Linked DNA regions of Neodiprion lecontei. The main gene of each other region encodes a partner of the protein of the gene in region 4 in a complex. Links are inferred from orthologs where the notes say so. Each region holds a gene or a part of one and is shown on either strand. Other genes may lie near its edges.

The links.
Region 1: mediator of RNA polymerase II transcription subunit 31 (region 4) and mediator of RNA polymerase II transcription subunit 20 share a complex: the UniProt entries of both Drosophila melanogaster proteins name them as parts of the mediator complex. The link is inferred for Neodiprion lecontei from reciprocal best matches to the Drosophila melanogaster genes MED31 and MED20.
Region 2: mediator of RNA polymerase II transcription subunit 31 (region 4) and mediator of RNA polymerase II transcription subunit 9 share a complex: the UniProt entries of both Drosophila melanogaster proteins name them as parts of the mediator complex. The link is inferred for Neodiprion lecontei from reciprocal best matches to the Drosophila melanogaster genes MED31 and MED9.
Region 3: mediator of RNA polymerase II transcription subunit 31 (region 4) and mediator of RNA polymerase II transcription subunit 7 share a complex: the UniProt entries of both Drosophila melanogaster proteins name them as parts of the mediator complex. The link is inferred for Neodiprion lecontei from reciprocal best matches to the Drosophila melanogaster genes MED31 and MED7.

What each region holds. Positions count from the first base shown.
Region 1 is NC_060260.1:35,737,309-35,741,953, forward strand, and holds the start of mediator of RNA polymerase II transcription subunit 20, read right to left. Parts: upstream 3,062-4,645; 5' UTR 2,910-3,061; coding exon 2,896-2,909; intron 2,579-2,895; coding exon 2,436-2,578; intron 1-2,435. UniProt on the Drosophila melanogaster protein: Component of the Mediator complex, a coactivator involved in the regulated transcription of nearly all RNA polymerase II-dependent genes.
Region 2 is NC_060264.1:6,104,929-6,108,535, reverse strand, and holds mediator of RNA polymerase II transcription subunit 9, read left to right. Parts: upstream 1-1,935; 5' UTR 1,936-2,129; coding exon 2,130-2,236; intron 2,237-2,611; coding exon 2,612-2,717; intron 2,718-2,802; coding exon 2,803-2,943; 3' UTR 2,944-3,090; downstream 3,091-3,607. Other genes in the region: 60S ribosomal protein L10, read right to left, coding at 323-653, 750-1,055, 1,576-1,598; protein YIPF3-like, read left to right, coding at 3,359-3,607. UniProt on the Drosophila melanogaster protein: Component of the Mediator complex, a coactivator involved in the regulated transcription of nearly all RNA polymerase II-dependent genes.
Region 3 is NC_060265.1:6,396,598-6,400,695, forward strand, and holds mediator of RNA polymerase II transcription subunit 7, read right to left. Parts: upstream 2,537-4,098; 5' UTR 2,138-2,536; intron 2,022-2,137; 5' UTR 1,977-2,021; coding exon 1,647-1,976; intron 1,552-1,646; coding exon 1,399-1,551; intron 1,308-1,398; coding exon 1,107-1,307; 3' UTR 548-1,106; downstream 1-547. Other genes in the region: tyrosine-protein kinase Btk29A, read left to right, coding at 3,752-3,922. UniProt on the Drosophila melanogaster protein: Component of the Mediator complex, a coactivator involved in the regulated transcription of nearly all RNA polymerase II-dependent genes.
Region 4 is NC_060262.1:33,293,895-33,298,919, forward strand, and holds mediator of RNA polymerase II transcription subunit 31, read right to left. Parts: upstream 3,370-5,025; 5' UTR 3,207-3,369; coding exon 3,140-3,206; intron 2,914-3,139; coding exon 2,824-2,913; intron 1,037-2,823; coding exon 723-1,036; 3' UTR 563-722; downstream 1-562. UniProt on the Drosophila melanogaster protein: Component of the Mediator complex, a coactivator involved in the regulated transcription of nearly all RNA polymerase II-dependent genes.

The DNA.
Region 1 (4,645 bases), on a different chromosome or scaffold from region 4:
TGCATTTGAAATTTTGTATTTTTATATAGTTGATAGTAAAAGTAATCACGGGCTAACTAGCTTATTACTTGTATAATTAATAACGTATAGCGGTACTGCAACAAGAGCCACGATGATTCTGATACGTGAAATTATCGCGTCTCGTTATTGCAGTATGTATAATATATTTTTTTCTGAATCCGTGAATCATATCCCTGCCATATCTGAATACTTGATTGATAAAATTAAGTAGCGTTTTCGAATCCGTATGTACGAAGCTATAGAAAAAGAGCAAGAAAAATGTACTTAAGATGTGTAGCGATAGGGCAATATCTATACGGTGTAGATCTCTGCAATCAATAATACAAATAATTTCAACAAATTTTTCTTTCAAACACGAAAATATTGTTCATACTCGAAGAATGATAATTGTAAAACTATTAAAATCTCGCTCAATAATTCTCACGAAGAAAGTGGAATAAAAAAAAAATATGAAACCGTACGAAGTGAATTATCAAAATTTAAAATTCTTCAAACAATTGCTATCGTAAATTTGAGTTATTTACACTCATATCAAACAATGTATAATTTTTCGAAAACCTTACCGTTCCCGAGGTTCTATGTATAATTTTTATAAAATACTGTTAAATTGGAGAACGCTTTGAAAAAACAACACTGAACCAACATGTTCCAGCAAGACGTTATATTTCCAATAATAATCGAATGAAAAAAAAATGTCCGTAGTTGTATAACTAATAAGTTGACGGGAGGGAAAAAAAAATCTGCAGTATGCACTTCTGTGAATTGAAGATCTATTATTCTTATTATTATCATCTATTATACCCAGTTGACAATATTGAAAATTGTACAAATATCATATACAAGGGTATATTTAAATTATATATTCTGTGCGATAGCGCGTGTGTAATTGTACTTTAAAACTTTAACTAAATCAACCGTCAGATAACGATTGAAGCGTGCCACTTTTTTATCGTAAACAAAAAAACATGAATATTATACGTCAGAGATGCTTGTAGTATTTTACGAATTTCTAACAATCCTTCTATATTGAGATAACGTATATACAATTAAATATAAAATATTACGCGACAATAAAAACTATATATTCAAAAATATATCGTATTATACGTACACACACACACACACACACACACACACATATATATATGATCAATGCTGGCCATGTGAGTAAAAAAATGAATAAAACATTATTAAAATCATAAATTCTATCTATCAAAAAAGAAATATCAAAATGTATTTTCAAAAATGTGCAACGACTTAAGAAAAATCAGATAAATAAAATACTTCTCTAGCTTCGCTTGCTAGATTTAATATTTTTGTAAAAACGCCTAGGATGTAGCCATGTTTCTAATAATATACGCCTATTCGCTAACTAGACAATAATAAAACCAACTGTTGTTAAGCTTAAGAAATTGAATAAGTTGTGCGCGTGATGCGAAAGAGAAAGGGAAAAGAGAAGAAATTTGCTCGTTAGATGTACCAGTAATTAATAGAAGGAAGTATTTGTCTGAATACTGTATCGTATCTTGTATGTATCACGTGTCGCGAAATTCAATCGAAAACAACCGAACGGATTTACGCTGACACTAGAAAAATTCCCAGTGTAATGCTGCCGGGAAGATTTCATGGTACCTGACTGTTGTAAAATATCAAAAACTACACTACGGAAGTCAAGTAAAGGTTGCCATTTACTTGTCAGGCATGTAACGTAGATCATATAAATTCTATGTACGGTAGATCGACGTGAAGATGATGGATAATGCGTAGCACAAATTGAATAATTAAAAAATGAATAGTCCTGCCGAAATAAATATCAGTTTGTTGCTCCAAGCTAAAAAGCTCAATATATCGCAGTACTTAATTAAACTTTGACAGATGCAGGTTAAGAGGAAGAATAATTGCCCATTTTATGTCTGTACCTCTGTAGAAAGTGATGAAAGCGCATATACATATGCCTAATCTAGAGTGTCAAACTAATGCGAAAGAAATTGTATGTTTGTATAGAGATGTGTATACTATGTTGCAGCCAAATAGCAGAAAGTTATTTAAATAGAATAAAGAAGATGAACTAAAAGCGAACGTCAGCCTCTACTTAGTACGGTAAACCTATCTCAATTGCAGGTTCAATAGAACACAACCAGCAATTTAAATTCCCTGGCAAATTCGGATCAATAGATTTGAAGAAATCCCCACGTTTCCCACAGCTGAAAATTCATCAGCAAGAGCTCGTAGTGGCGCCATCTCTACGAAATCACACGAACTACACTGAATTCTAACGGAAAAGGATCCCCTTCTTTTTTAACAATCCTTTTCAAGTTTTCTCCATCAACAATATCAATGTGTTGCTCATGTATGTTTTCCAACGAGTCACTGAACTTCAGGAAAATTTAAAACAAAATCGAACAGCCACTCACCTAACTGAGGCACCGATTGGTAAGTTTCGCAATCGACCAGAAACTGCCCTGTCTGAACAGCTCCGAGGGCGACGACTCGCTTTGTGAGGAATTCGATCGTCTGGGGGCCGGTCCGGTTCTCCGACATGGGAAATTGCTGTAGCCTGAAATATTAGGTTTCACGAAGTTAGAAACATTGCTCAATCAATCTTGAACAAAGAATAATTCGAAGTTAGAAGCTCTGCTAGGACCTCGATTTTGAGATTAAGACGATAAATATAACCGCAATACGATTGCGCGACAGATTGAAGTAGCAGAATATCAAGGTGTGGTACATTTCAACGGCAATAGCCGGTAATCGTAAAAGCCGCATAACCTAAAAACGTTCAACAAACGCGAGGTTGAGGATTATTTGATGCGAAGCATGCCGTGACAAGTGTGACGGCAAACCTGTTTGTGAGGCTATTTACGTGATACTCACACTGTCACACCCATTGTTTCTTTTCTGTCAATAAATAATCAAACTAAAAAAAAGCACTCAAGTCACACACTGATAGAAACGAGACACTTGTTTACCAGAGATGAGTAGGCAACTCTGTGTTTACAATCTAGACTATTCCTGACAGTGACAATGAAGCTCCGCCAGTTCGAAACTCGACGGCTTAGATGGATATTCCTCTGATGCTTCAACGCAGCTATGCAATCCATCGGCTAGATGTCGCTACGTACAGTTTCCGTTTTAGTTTCCCTTGACGTTGACTGAAAATACAGTTCATATGAGTTGATATGAGGACTGCTTTGGGTTCTTGTGTTATTTTTCGAAATGGATTGCCGGATTCAGACGGGTTTGAGGGAAATTCCACTACCTTGCACTTACCGACTCGTCTTATGGGATCTCAATGTAGGATCGTGGCGTTACAGCAGAATACTGCGTAGTTTTCCTTAGCGGCACGCTGAAGTCTATAGCCAATGCCTGCCATTTTTCAGTCATGAAATCATAGCTATAGTCGTTCTGCGGTTTTTGGAAAGCAAGGTCAGAAAGAGCCTGAAGAAGCCTACATTTGCAGTTTTTTCAATCTAATTTTCGAGGTGTCTGGACAGTTTATGCAAGTCGGTTACCGACCGGTATTTTAACGTACCTTGTCTTATTGAAAATTCAGCTTCACCTCATCCTCTCACAAAAATCACGGCAGTTCGACCACCGACCATTTGCATTGCTGCCCGTACCCTTAAATAGTATGAATTGACCGCAGATATTTTATTTTGTATACATATCTATGCAATTTAATGCGTGCCTAAATTCACAAGCTGTACGTTGCTATCTGTAATTCGGTAGGCTTATACAGCGAAGGTAATTGTGCCGATAAATATTGCCGGTTTAATTTTCATTCACCGCGTTGACCGAAGATGTAAAGTCAACGTTCTTTATGGTTTGAAATGGAATAAAATACGAAATAAATAATAATCGATTGAATCCCCGATTTTCTGTACCCTGTTCGTCCAGTCGGTCCAGTCAAAATAATGTAATATCGTTGGATATTAGAAGGTACAGGGTATTTCGACACGCGGTTTTGCTTCAATTGCGAATCTAAATTTTGTTATTTCTCCGAGCACTCGAGTAATCTTAGAGCAGTGTATATGCTCCAAGCAAATGTCACAGAGAACATGTCCAAACCGCGAAATTCGTGAAACGCTTCGCGGCTGCAGAGCGAGCAGTGACAAGGTCCGCAAATAGACGGGCGGACAAGGGAATTAAGTTCTTTGCATGACGAATTTTCCGTAGGAACAGAAACAACGACTGCGTTGTCAAACTGCAGTATAAAACCTACACACTATAGACAAATTGGAATACAAATGGTGACCAGGCAAAGACCGTTCCTTGTCCGCTCGTCTATCTACGGACCTTGGACCTTGACAGATTACAAAACTCACCCCGGGAATCCCCGCGCAAGCTCAGAGAGGTGTCACCACCTGGCGCGGGGTAGGTGAACCAAAACAGTTAGACGCTGGTCCGCGCGGAGCGCGGTGACCAAAATCGAACGATACGAACCGTGCCAAGGGGCCACGAGGTGAACAATCTTCCGAGCTCATCTCGGAATCCCAATCATGTATACATAGAATTGTGAGATTTGTTGAGTCGAACTAGCTGTCAGTGATTTGCAAGGCCTAGGCGTGGATGGGTCGAGTGTGCGAAGTTGGCCTTAACAATCCGAGCATATCAGTGAGTGTGG
Region 2 (3,607 bases), on a different chromosome or scaffold from region 4:
TAATCATTTGTAAAATAAATTCTTAAAATCACAGCACCATCCTTTTCACATTATACCTATTTTATTATGAACTCCGAACAGATGATCATCTGCTACATCTGTAGAATACTCATACCTGTAACAATGGATCTATTATAAAAGCGAACTTTGTAATATTCACCATGGAAATGGTAAATTGGCAAAAAAAGATCTGGAATTGATACTGAACTTATAGCATGCATCTTCCTGCAACATAACGAGGTATAATAGTAAAAGACGCACAATTTTAATTAGTCGGAATAAAATTTATTGAGACCACATTTACAGAAGTGTTTGGCTCAGATTAGGCACTGGCCAGGCTTTCTCTGAACTTCTTCCACGCGTCTAGGGGTCCGTGCTCTGGAAGATATTTGACATTGCAACCATCTTGGGCAAGACGACCAGCTACCTTCAGATCTTCGTATTCGGCACGTTCGTACTTGGTAAATCCCCACTTCTTAGAAACGTAGATCTTTTGACGACCAGGGAACTTGAACTTGGCACGCCGTAGAGCCTCGATAACTACCGCCTTGTGACGGTCCGATGAGCGCACACTCATGATCGGCTGCCCGATTCGGACACGAGCAACAGTACCTTGAGGCTTACCAAAGGCTCCTCTCATCCCAGTTTGGAGCCTAGATAGTTGAACAAATTTGTAGCATTAATTTTCCATCTAAGTAGATAATATTCCGTTGTTGGATAAATGAGTTACTATTGTTCACGTAATTTACCTATCAGCTCCAGCGCATGACAACATTTTGTTGATGCGAATGACGTGGAAAGGGTGGAGTCGCATCCTAATGTGGAACTGATCTTTGCCAGCATTTTTGACCATGTATTTGTTGCAGCAAATACGACCTGCTTCTAGAGCTTCTGAGCTAAGCTGTTCATATTCGTCAGAAACCAAATGAACGCAGAGTGGAAAGTCTTCGACACATGCCTTCTTCTTTCCCAAGTCAAAGATACGAATCTTTGGGTCAGGGACACCCCGACAGAAACGAGACTTAGGATATGGTTTGTTCTTGCAGTAGCGATAACTGTAATTAAACAAAAATTCTCATCAGTATTTGATTTATAACATATTTACACAGCACTTAGATTCCCAAACCTTTATCTCAAAGCGTATTGCAACAATGACATCTGATTGTATAAATTATAAATTAAATGATACATATTGCGAAACAGGTTAGACACCAGTGTTAACGAGGTTACGTTACCATCATGTCGAACTTTCAGTTCCACAAAATTCTCTACAGTTGACTAATGGTCTGGAACTGCAATTCTAATTAGCAAAATTTTCGCGACAATTACAGAGAACTTCAAAATAAGTGAGTAAATGAAGCGGCAGTAATGGGTTAAATACAGAACAGTGCACTTCGAAGCTTGGCATACACCTGCGTTGACACAAAAAAGGGAATTTTGTTAGAGCCTCGGATTAATTCGTAGCTCGAGTCAATTAAAGCAATCGTTGGTCAGGAATAAAGGTACCACAATTATTTCTCTTTTCGATTATTTCTTTTTTTCCTAAATTAGAAAATGCGAGTCATGACGACTTACCACCTCGCTGGCCGGCGTCCCATTTTGGACTGAAAATATAAACACCACAATTATTTATCGAAAAAACTATCACTCTTAACAATTGGTAAATTAACCTAATTTCGTTCAGTAAGACTAATTAATTGCCGTTGTGTAGGATTCCTCGGATTATCAGAGATATAAAACAGCATTCGCGATACATACCTACTACCCTTGATAGCCCAAATGAAAGTGACGGAAATCAATTTTCTGGTCAAATGTCCAGGAGCTACTTCCGGCATTCGCGGTGCAACACCATAGACTATACTAACGATTACGTCCATTCTATGTCTAACTTTACAAGCTAGATGTTAAGCTCCTTGCCATCGCTCCATCTACAAAACTTGATTTTTCCGGCTTCTGTTTCTGACAGTACCGTAAAATTTTGTCAAACCTTCGTGGTGTGCTAAATGCTTTGAACGACCAGTTCGCGTGATAAAGAACGTGTGTAGATAAATTCATTTAAACTGTCTACGAAAGAAGAAAAAATTAGTGTCGAAAAAGCAGAAGATGCCGAAAAAAATTGCGGTGAAAATATGATGGAAGTTGTTGAGATAGCAGAGGAAGCGCCTGCTCGAAGTCAGTTCACAGTCGACGATCTAGACATAGAAATTCTACCGCTTGTTTACGAAATAATCCGAAGGTATGTGGGTTTAATTTATTTTCTTGTTAACACTAGCAATACCCTTTGAAATTGACATGCCAAAAATAGTACTCCATTTTTTCAAGTTATTATAGATAGAAAGTTGCGAAAGCACTCCCCATTGTCTGCCACGTTTGTCAAATTATTTATAGCTCATATGATTGCGTATCAAAATTATTAACACAAGGTACATGATTGCTCAATTTCTCAAATTGATATTCTAATTTTATTCACTTGCTCTGCGAACATTAGATCGTGACGTTGGAGTTTTACAGGATTACGTATGAACAAGAATTTACCTTATTAAATGTACAGCTAATTTGTCTCATCAAACTAGTTATGTAATGCAACAAAATTTTGATTTGTTCCACATAGCGTGGAAAAAGATCCTCATGACAACACCCAAAAAGCTAAGGACTCTCAGGATACGAGTCACAAAATACTAGATTTACAAAAAAAATTGGACTCTGCACGATCACAGGTGTGTATACTCGACGATAATCATGCTTAGCATGACTAAATATTCGTTCTCTGTAATTTAATAAACTGAAACCCATTGCTTTTAGATAAAAAAATTGCCTGGGATAGAATATAGCAAAGAGGAGCAATTACAGAAGCTAGAAACACTTCGCAGGCAGCTCAAGTTGAAGCGAGAACTACTACTCAAGTATCGTAATATGTGTACATTCGACGTACCCAAAGTATAAATAATTAGACTTTCATACTATAATTCATTATGGTTCTGCGTTTTCTTATGCGATACTTGGCCAACAACGAACAGCTCATCAACAAATTAGCAGATTCAAAACCTATAAGACGAGCTGCTCAGCTGGTTGTTTATTTTATGCAACGTTCTTCCCAGCACGGTATACCATCCAGTCCACAGGAGCTTGGCAAGCAATGGGCAAGTTTATTATCGCGTTTCTCATCTAATCTCAAAGAAGGAATTGCAGACGCTAAGAAGGATCAGGAAAAGAAACAATCTAAATAACATATATTCTAACGTAACCAAATTACTCTCCTGCGATTAGTTATCCATCTCAAAGACTTCGATGAATCAGTTTTTTTTTTTTCTGAATTGTGAATTAGATTTAATAGCTTAATATTTCCCATTGGTTTACCATGGCGTACAAAGGATCAGCCGTTATATTGGTGCCTACAGATTCCAAACAATATTGCGTTAAAGTTGATGGCCATGTTTCGTTTGTCAATCGTTATATGAAAGTTACACCCTACGATATTGGAAGACGGATTATAGCTTCCCTCGGACCTCCTTGTAACAAGAAATTTAGAATTGAAAATATAGATCTAGTAGGACCCCTCCTAGCAGTCTTAATTTTAATTGCAATTCTAAATTACGGATATAGGATT
Region 3 (4,098 bases), on a different chromosome or scaffold from region 4:
TGTGAACTCAGTTGTTGTGGAGTTTATTACCAGGAGAAGTGTATTTTTAACGTAAAATGTACTGGAAATATAAGATAAATCAAACGTGCAATAGATATATTTCAAAGAATTGTGACGCGTTAGGAATTTCGAGAAATGATTATACATGAATGTTCCTTACTTTTAAAAAACAGTTCCAGGTATTTATGAGATGCAGAAAGGTTTTTAACACTTTTTTTTTACAAATCGTTACATAATAAATGTTTCGAAATACTTTGTCCCCATGTCTCGATCAAGTATTTCTTTGAGTATCGTTATCTACTAATTTATATCAACTGATTCATTACATAGCATTATGAAACCGTTCAAGAACGTGGGGCTGTTCGGCTCAAAATTGTTTTGAACTGTCCCGTTTTTCTACACTCAGCTACAGGTTTCCATGTTACGTTTAGCGCTGTGAATCTATGTCATCATTCAGATGAAATCTACCTTGATTAATGATCAATAATTCATCTTATTGTTATGACATCCCTAATAATAGTATTTCTAGGAGATATTTTTTCACAACTTCGTACTGAAATTCATTTTTATTCACTTCTTTGGAGAATACGTAGTTCCATTTTAATCCTTCATTTCTTAATAATGATTACTGGACTATTTCCAAGTCAGTCAAATATACAAATGATAAGTACAGTAAATCGCAGAGCCATGCGCCCGTATTCAGAGTATTTTAATTTTAATCGCTGTCCAGCACAGTAATAAATAATATTTAAAATATTAATTATATTATGTATAAAACGATATGCAGTAATAATCATTGTAGAAACTCACACGCGTCTAGACAAATTCACTAATAATTGTTCCTTATATCTAAGCTCACTATAAACCAGTTTTTCAACAGCGTTGAAGTATAAAAATTATTTCATTCAACCAAGGTAGCAAGATGCAATTCAAGCCAGCATGTTTATTTTTACTTTCGTAATTTTACGTGACGAAAACTAAAAATTCAAGAATTAGAGGTACTGAAAACTCTTTTTAATTGCTGTTAAACAGTGTTTCTGACGCTGTTTTCAATAAATAAAACAGTTTTTATTTTATTGTTGGGATGAATTTTTGCTGATCCAGAATCAGTAAAGATTATTCGATGTGGTCATTTCGTCGATAATATTGCACATCATTCGGTCCCTTGGACAACACGGATCTGTAGCTTGTTGCTCTAGTCCCAAAGTATCCATAACTTCCATCGTATCTGTACTGACAGCAAGGCTTGAATCTAGCTCCGAGGTGTCAGGCAGCATCTGCAATGCATGCTGCAATATTTCCTGCACCTAGAGAGAAAGAATTGAAAGAAATTTTAGTCAGTGATATTAGAAGAAACCAAATGTGATGAAAGATAAACCAATGACACGTATAGCATACTTTGTCTAAATGTTTTTGAAATCGCAGAGTGGTTTCTGTCCGCTGTCTACGCTGGAGCTCCATCATAACACGAAGAGTTTCTCTAGCCTGATGCGGCCTAAACTCATTAAGCAAGTGGTGAATATGGATGAACAAAAGGCTCAAGTCCTCGACCTGAAAATACGTCAGGAAAAACCATGAGATTCTTTATTACCGTCAATAACTCCTGGTGTTAAATGTCTCAAGTATGAAGAAAATCAAGGACACACCTTCTCCGCTCTCCTCGGACTGTCGGGACACTGTACCAGCAGATCTATAAGGTCTAAAAAATTGACCAGAAGAGAGTGATTGAGTTTCTTGAGCTCACGACGCCGGTCAAAATGCTGGGGATAAAGCCTCTTGATCCCCTGCGCTTCCAGCGGCCTTATGATGGTGTCGTCGGCGTTGAACATGTTCCCGAACATGGAATAGTTCTCATGATTAGCCGGGGGAGGACGGGGAGCTCTTCCTCTACGCACGTTCTCATCGGTGTACAAGTTGATGTACTGAGTAGGCGGCATGGGCAGCGAGCTGACCTGCGTCGCTTCCGGAGTCGCCATGGTTTAATAAAATAATATCAACGGCGTAGTCGTAAGATTTTATTCCTGTAAAAGAAAAGAGAAGGAACTGAAACGAGTCAGAGGAATTTAAACGTCAGATGAAAAAAAGATGGGTCATGTTAGGCTAGGTTATAACCACGATATCAGCCTCGGTTTAACACCATCAATCGGAGGGTGAAGATAGGCGAGGTGGATCTACTCACGCCATGAAATACGAGTAAAGCAGTGGAAGGCTCGTCGACGAGGCAGTCACTGTGTTTTCAGCGTCTAACAACGCGAGTCGTCACAGCAGAGGAAAAAACAAAAGCAGCGCGGCGGTTAGTGTTCGCCATTTTGTTTTGTTTACATGCCTGCGTAGCGCCGAACATGGAAGATGCCTGGGAATGTTAAATGTTTACGCTTTTTCAAAGTTCATCCAGTTACCTACACAGCGACGTTATTCGACCGTCGGAAAAGCGTCGCTTGCCTCTCGGTGTCGCGGTTGAAACAACTCGGGATTAAATCGCGCTGCCCGAATGTCGAAGTGTAAAATATTCAGACAAGTGGATAAGTGACCAATACAAAACAGTTGAACATCGATGTGTCTCATGACTAACGCCGTAGCGCATTTCCTGTTATCTCGTGAATTTCCGACCGTCTTGCCTAGCCGTCGCTTCGCCCGCGACCGTTTGACAGGTTACCTCCCCCCTCTCCGTACCGCCCGCCGCTAAGCCTCTCTCTGTGTTCCTTTGCATCCACGTGAATTTTTTTTTTCGCATTATACCCCTAACCGAATCCGGCGGGCAGCCACGTTCTCGAGACCGATGCATCGTCTGGCTGTGTGACAAACCGGTGCTGTGAATGGTAAGAGTACTGTGTTGACTACCGATAGTCTTTATTTTATTGTTACACGGTTTCCCGGCTATTTCGACGTCGGCCGAGGCGATTCCGAGGAACTCGGCACCCAAAACGTCAGTATTTTATAACCGCAAATTCCGTGCGCCTTTCCCTATCGCCTATTTTCGAACTGAGCTTCGGTTTCGTTATCAGTACCGTACCCGGTTTAGCTACGCGATGTTCTCGACGCTTTTATACTTTTACTCTATTCCTATTATCGTTCGTAAACCGACTGCATTGTAAAATAATCGCCTCGATTGTTGTACCTGAGCAATTGATGGAATGCAGTGTTTGTAAACAACGAAAAATGAGCCATGCATCGACCATCTCGAAACGGTTTCCTGTTCACAATTTACACACATATTCGATATCAGTTTTACTCCTCTCTTTTATCTGATGGCGTGCCAACAGTTGGTCTCTGTTCATCTTTTCCCTACTTCCCTGTCATCAGCTGTTCAAATTTGTTGAATCCACCATCCGTCAAACACACATTCTTCTTTCAATCAGCTCTCATCCGCCATTCTATTCTCTTCTATTCAACTTCTCGCTATCTTCTTTGTCTTCATATTTTCTCTTCTTCTTTCTTACGCTGTGAACCGAACTACCGAAACTTGTACTCTGCGAATCGGATTTTCTCTTTGTTTCTCCCTTTCTCGACAAGAAGCTCCAACTTTTCTTACTTTCAGATCAACAGATATGTCTAGTAATATTTGAAACACACTGTAGCTATCGCTGGACTGTGATAAATGTCGCAATACTATTTAAATTTTCTTTATAACGCCCAGAATAAGCTTGAAAGAAAAAGAAGTAATATAACGATTACAAAATATCGTCCACTTTCTCAAAAATACATTTCATTAATTTGATGTTTTGCATTTTACAGGGTTTTCTTTTCAGGGATGACGGGGAAGGATGGGAAGGCGGAGGCTAAAGGCGTGGATGGTGTTGTTAAGACAGGATTTATGACAAAGCGCTCTCAAAACAAGAAACGATTTACGCCGATCAACTACAAGCAGCGATGGTTCGTCCTCACCAGGCAATACCTTATATACTATGACAGCGACAGCGAGGTAAGCGAGACGAATCACTTGTTGACACATTTCTTTGATAGATTTCGAGTCGACAGGTCACGCCTGAAATTTCATTACACGACGCGTATTTACATGGCAATTGCTCAGCTGTTGAACAAAATATTATTATTTCTGATCTTCATTCTGTGATCGAATTTGACCAGGTTTCCATTCGC
Region 4 (5,025 bases):
AAGTATTTAGCGCTATTTAATAATTGTAGGTAAATTATCGTCACGTAATCGAGTAGTATAGGTATCTTTTTTCGAAGTGCATCATATTTACACCGTGTAAGATTAATGCAGAAGTGGAGTATTTGTGTGGACAATTTTCAGCGTAAATGTACTTTTTATAATCCAAAAGTACTTTGCAAAATTTATTACTCTGTTCCACAATTCAGCAGGGTTTCATGTTTTGAAAAAACGTTGTTGTGTATATATACATCTGAAAAACTGTTCGAAATAAAGCGGACGTGTGTCAAGCTAGAAGGATGTGAAAAATTTGTGAAATTACACTTTTTAACAAATGCATAGGAAAACTATTCAGCTACCGCCAATCATTCAAGGTTTTATGAAATGACGAACTAAAGAGCCTCATAAAATTTGATATTTGTGTGGCAACCTTTTTTTTCTAAGCATTCTTTAATGTAAGCCTTGAGCAATGGAAGTACTTAAATTCTCTGTTGATCAAAAGCTAGCCTGATTAGCTAGTTCATTGGTAGAATTCTGATTATGAATGAAGATATAATCCTCGAGACAAGTATAAAAGAAGTCTTTATTTAAATTTAAACAAGTATTCATTACATTACGAATAATACGGATGAAAAGAAAGGAACAAAATGTACAGTTGAAGTTGTTAAATATTATTAACAATGTGTTTTAACACCTAAGATTATTAACAAGTTTTTTTACAGTCTCTACGGTACTTTTGGCTGCACCATACCGTTGTTTTGCGCATTATTGGGCTGTGTTTGCTCTGCTGCTGTTTGCAGTAACCTTGTTCTGCGTCTGGTGTAATGCTGCCATAGCAATATTTGCTGATCATCGATGAATTTTGTGCACTGAGCGTTTACGACTTCACGTCGGAAATGCTCATACTGCAGTAAGTCCAGAAAATAGAGGCACATCGGGTACTTCAAGTATTTAGCATATTCTGGCTCCTTCCAGTAAAGTAGATACTTCAGGTAATTGATGAAGGTGGAATCTTTGAAATATCCTCGCTGGCCCAGAACTGTGCCAAAACAGTAATGAATTATAATCAAAGTATACAGCGAAGGGTTTATACATCTTGAAAGTAGATGTCTTCAAGTCTGTTGTCTCCGCTAATCCTTTATGAATATTTTTCAGTGTTCCGTTACTGTCCAATTTCGCATCCAACACATTCCAACAGCTACTCAGTCTCTAGTTTCCAGATATTTTCTGTGATAAGGCTAATTTCTCAAAAACTGCATCTTTCACGAATTGTTCGTTTTGAATCTAGTTTCTTAAATACTAGAGAAGAGTATTCTAATAGGAGTAGAAATTTTGGTGTTACAAAAAAACACCACATCAATTTCAGAAAACTATACAACCGACGGATATGAATAAAATAATTTGATTGTTTCAGTTTATCAGATGATTTTCCTCCTCAATCACTTGGAATCTTTGTGCCAGATTAATTGAATCTTGCAGAGAGATTGAATTTCAGAACTAAATAATTCATAACGTGAATTATGATACAGCGCTGACAGACAGAATCCAGTGAAAAGCTACGCTACCCATTTTTGAAGATGGAATGATAGGAGCAGACCTGTGATAAATAACTACTACAAATAAATAAAACGTTCTATAGCAATTTTATGATGTGTAGGAAGTTGCCCAATTGAATATGGGATCCTGAAGAAAGGTGAGAACTTCGGCACTGGTATAGCAGTTCCATTGAAGAGTCGGCCAGTACTAGGCAGAACTTCAGTAGATAGTCTTGTTCTCATTTCTCTATCACAAGAAATTACAGATCGATTTCACCTCTTCAACTTGCTAAAACTTCTGGGAAAATTCACAAACAACTCTCTTCTTCTGTATAATGCGCTTATAAAAAGAATTGATAAATTTTAAATTAAATCGTCAAATTGCCATAGAATGTTTTACGTAGTTATTATATCCTACACTTGCGATACACGTTTCCTCAGATCAAAAAATTCGCTTACATTTCGGTGTAACGAGACTTTTCCACTACCCAACCATTTTATTTTCGAAATTAACATCTGACTGGTAATATCTAGGCGATTTCTATTTTACCAGTACAATTTGTATCTTCTGTCAAAATTAATAAATGATTTTCAAAACGAACGATGGTGTTTAAGTGCGGACTTTTGATGATGAAAAACAAACCCCGCCCATTATATGAATTACAGGTATACACTAATCAAAAGTGGGACAGATATTTCAGGACAAAACGTTAAATTATCATTGAAGTTCTGCTTACTAACAATCATTGACATAGCACTGATATTCAGCACTGAGTGTCGCGTAGTTGCACTAATCAACAATAGCATGACCTACTTAATTGCCCAGGTAACAAGTCATTCTAAATAAAGAACCCTGCCCACGTTAGGCAACTTTCCTTTACTAAAGGATCTGGCTGTGTTCTAAATTGTGAATCTTTTGCGACTTGGATCAATTTGAGTTACGAGGAAGATGAACTTTGAATTTTGGAAATATGTGGTGCGTATTGATGCAAATAGTTGAAGAACATGAAACGAATATTGATTTAATAATTCAAAGTATTTCCAGAATGACGTCAGTATCGATTGAATTTATGTAACTAGGAGTTCCGTTGAATCGACGATGACTTCAAGTTTAACATAAAACGAGGATCTAAAATAAAATATTTACCTAACGATAACTCCTTCTAACACATTCTTAGTATATCATTAATTTTTCCATCATCAACATACATATTTACAACTGGGGAGTAATGTCAATGACCTAAGGTCAACAGCTGAAAAGTACAATGGAGATACGAAGTTAAAAACTTACAATTTAGATAGTTTGGATTAGCGAGACATTGGACAAATTCCAACTCAACCTGAAAGCGAAGTCGCTGTTGGTCATCGGTTTCTGGCCCACCTGAGATAAATAAAAACACTCGAATGAGGTTAGACGATAAAGGTACTATGTTTATGTTATTCGTAATAATTTTTTTGATCTATAGCTATGTGAGAATTTACGCTTAATCACGAACCGATGAATACCTTGCTAATACGATCACTTGTCGCGGGATATTTTTATCTTCAATAAACGTCAAAATCGTATCGTCTGTCATTTTTATTTACATATTTTTCAATCTACCTACCGTTCATCCCGATGTAAGATGTTTTCCTTCCCTTAGTTAGGCCTGGGAGATCGTCCAAGCGATTCATATTACACGAATTCTTGATGTTCGAATATTTTTCGTCTCTTGATGACTAGGCACTCACTTATTCCAACTTTGATAAACAATACGATCCTCAAAGTAACTCCGAAGATCAACAAACTCGCAGCGGTTTCATGACGCCATGCGAAGTCTGATGCAAGGTCTGATGCTTCGAGAGCCACGCGCACGCGTTAAGTTGGCGGGAAAGTTGCGCACGCATACCGCAGATTTCGGAACGCAAATCGGGACAATTGGTCGCGGAGTGCGTGGGTTTGAGAACGTATACGAGGCGCAAAACTGTAACGCTCGTCTTCAACTAAGAACAATCAAGCATCAAGTCCACGCGCAAAAAGTGCGATAAAATTTTGGTAATACATGTTAAATGTTTATTAAATTCAAAATAAAAAGGTCTTCGATCATTTAAAAATTCACGACAATTGCTAATAAAAAAACCAATCCATAAACGAAAAATGAAATACACAAACGGTATGTTGGATTGCCAAGTAATTAACTGGCTAGTTATCTGAGAGCTGTATATATCTTGGAGTAAATGTATGTACACTATATGACCATCGATTGATGAATTTATAACTATATCAACATAAATTATGATATAGCCACAACAGTAAAAAAAATTTGTATAATGTATTCAGCTATGAACACCCAAAAAGTTCACACATAATGCACAATTTCTCCGCTTACAGAATCATTTCGATGGAATTATAACAGTGCTGAAAATTTCATATAGACTTCGATAAGATATATAGGAGACGCTATTTAAGCGTCAGCATTTTACTGAAAATTTATATGATCTTGTACGTTCAAGTATGGTTTTCTATTTTTGCTATCCAAATGTGTATAAAATATCGACAGACAGCTCAGGAACGTAAGTTAAGTCAAATTTTTGTACAACGCTGCCATACCCTGATCCTATAAAGGTTAGCGGTCCTTACATGCCTCTAGTCTACGTGAGAAAGAAAGATAGGTAAGTATCATGCACTTTATGTATTCTTTTCTGAGTTCTCTTGAGAGCAATATCTTCCAGAACACTGCAGAGTGTCTCAATACTTCATGAAATTGCAGAGTCAACAGTATATGGTCCTCATTCGTGTAATGGCAGCTATTTTACAGAAACGTGAAACTTAGGGGTTTCAAACTGTTTCCCGTCATTCAATTGCTTTAGTCATTACCATTGCCAATATAATTATTTCTCCTTAATCACTGATTTGAGGGCTTTAGCCCCAACTTATTGTTGGTATTGGCGCGGGGAAAGGTCGGGGCAATCCTACATTGCAACAAGTACCAGACCTGTTCTAATTCACAAATTGAAGTTAACGAGTAAATTGCCAGAACATTTAACATCCCCAGTATTTTCAATAGACAGCATAATCGAATGAAAAGTGTTGACGGTTACATAAGTCTATCATTTCATCTATGTTTCAATAGAAATGGTAAAATTCTGGCAAATGACATTATCGTTTCTTTAATGCCATCATGTCATTCAGTAGAGAAAAAAGAAATGGACCATTACTGTGCCAGCGTTAAACCACTTCGGTAACGAGCATGGCATTGAGTCAAAAACTGCACGTGCAGCTTACCTATCAGCTGATCCTCGCTGCACTGGAGTCACCGCCGAATCAGGCTCTAGTCAACAGCTAATCATGAGCTTTGCACTTTTTCACACTACACTCTTTTGGTCTGACAATTTCAATGTCCGTAGTCATGTACGTATCATTTTTTCACAACAAATAACAAAGAGTATTCACCCATTTATGCTACATAGTTGGTTGAACATTAAATGTAGCTGTCATTTGTTACGCAATTGT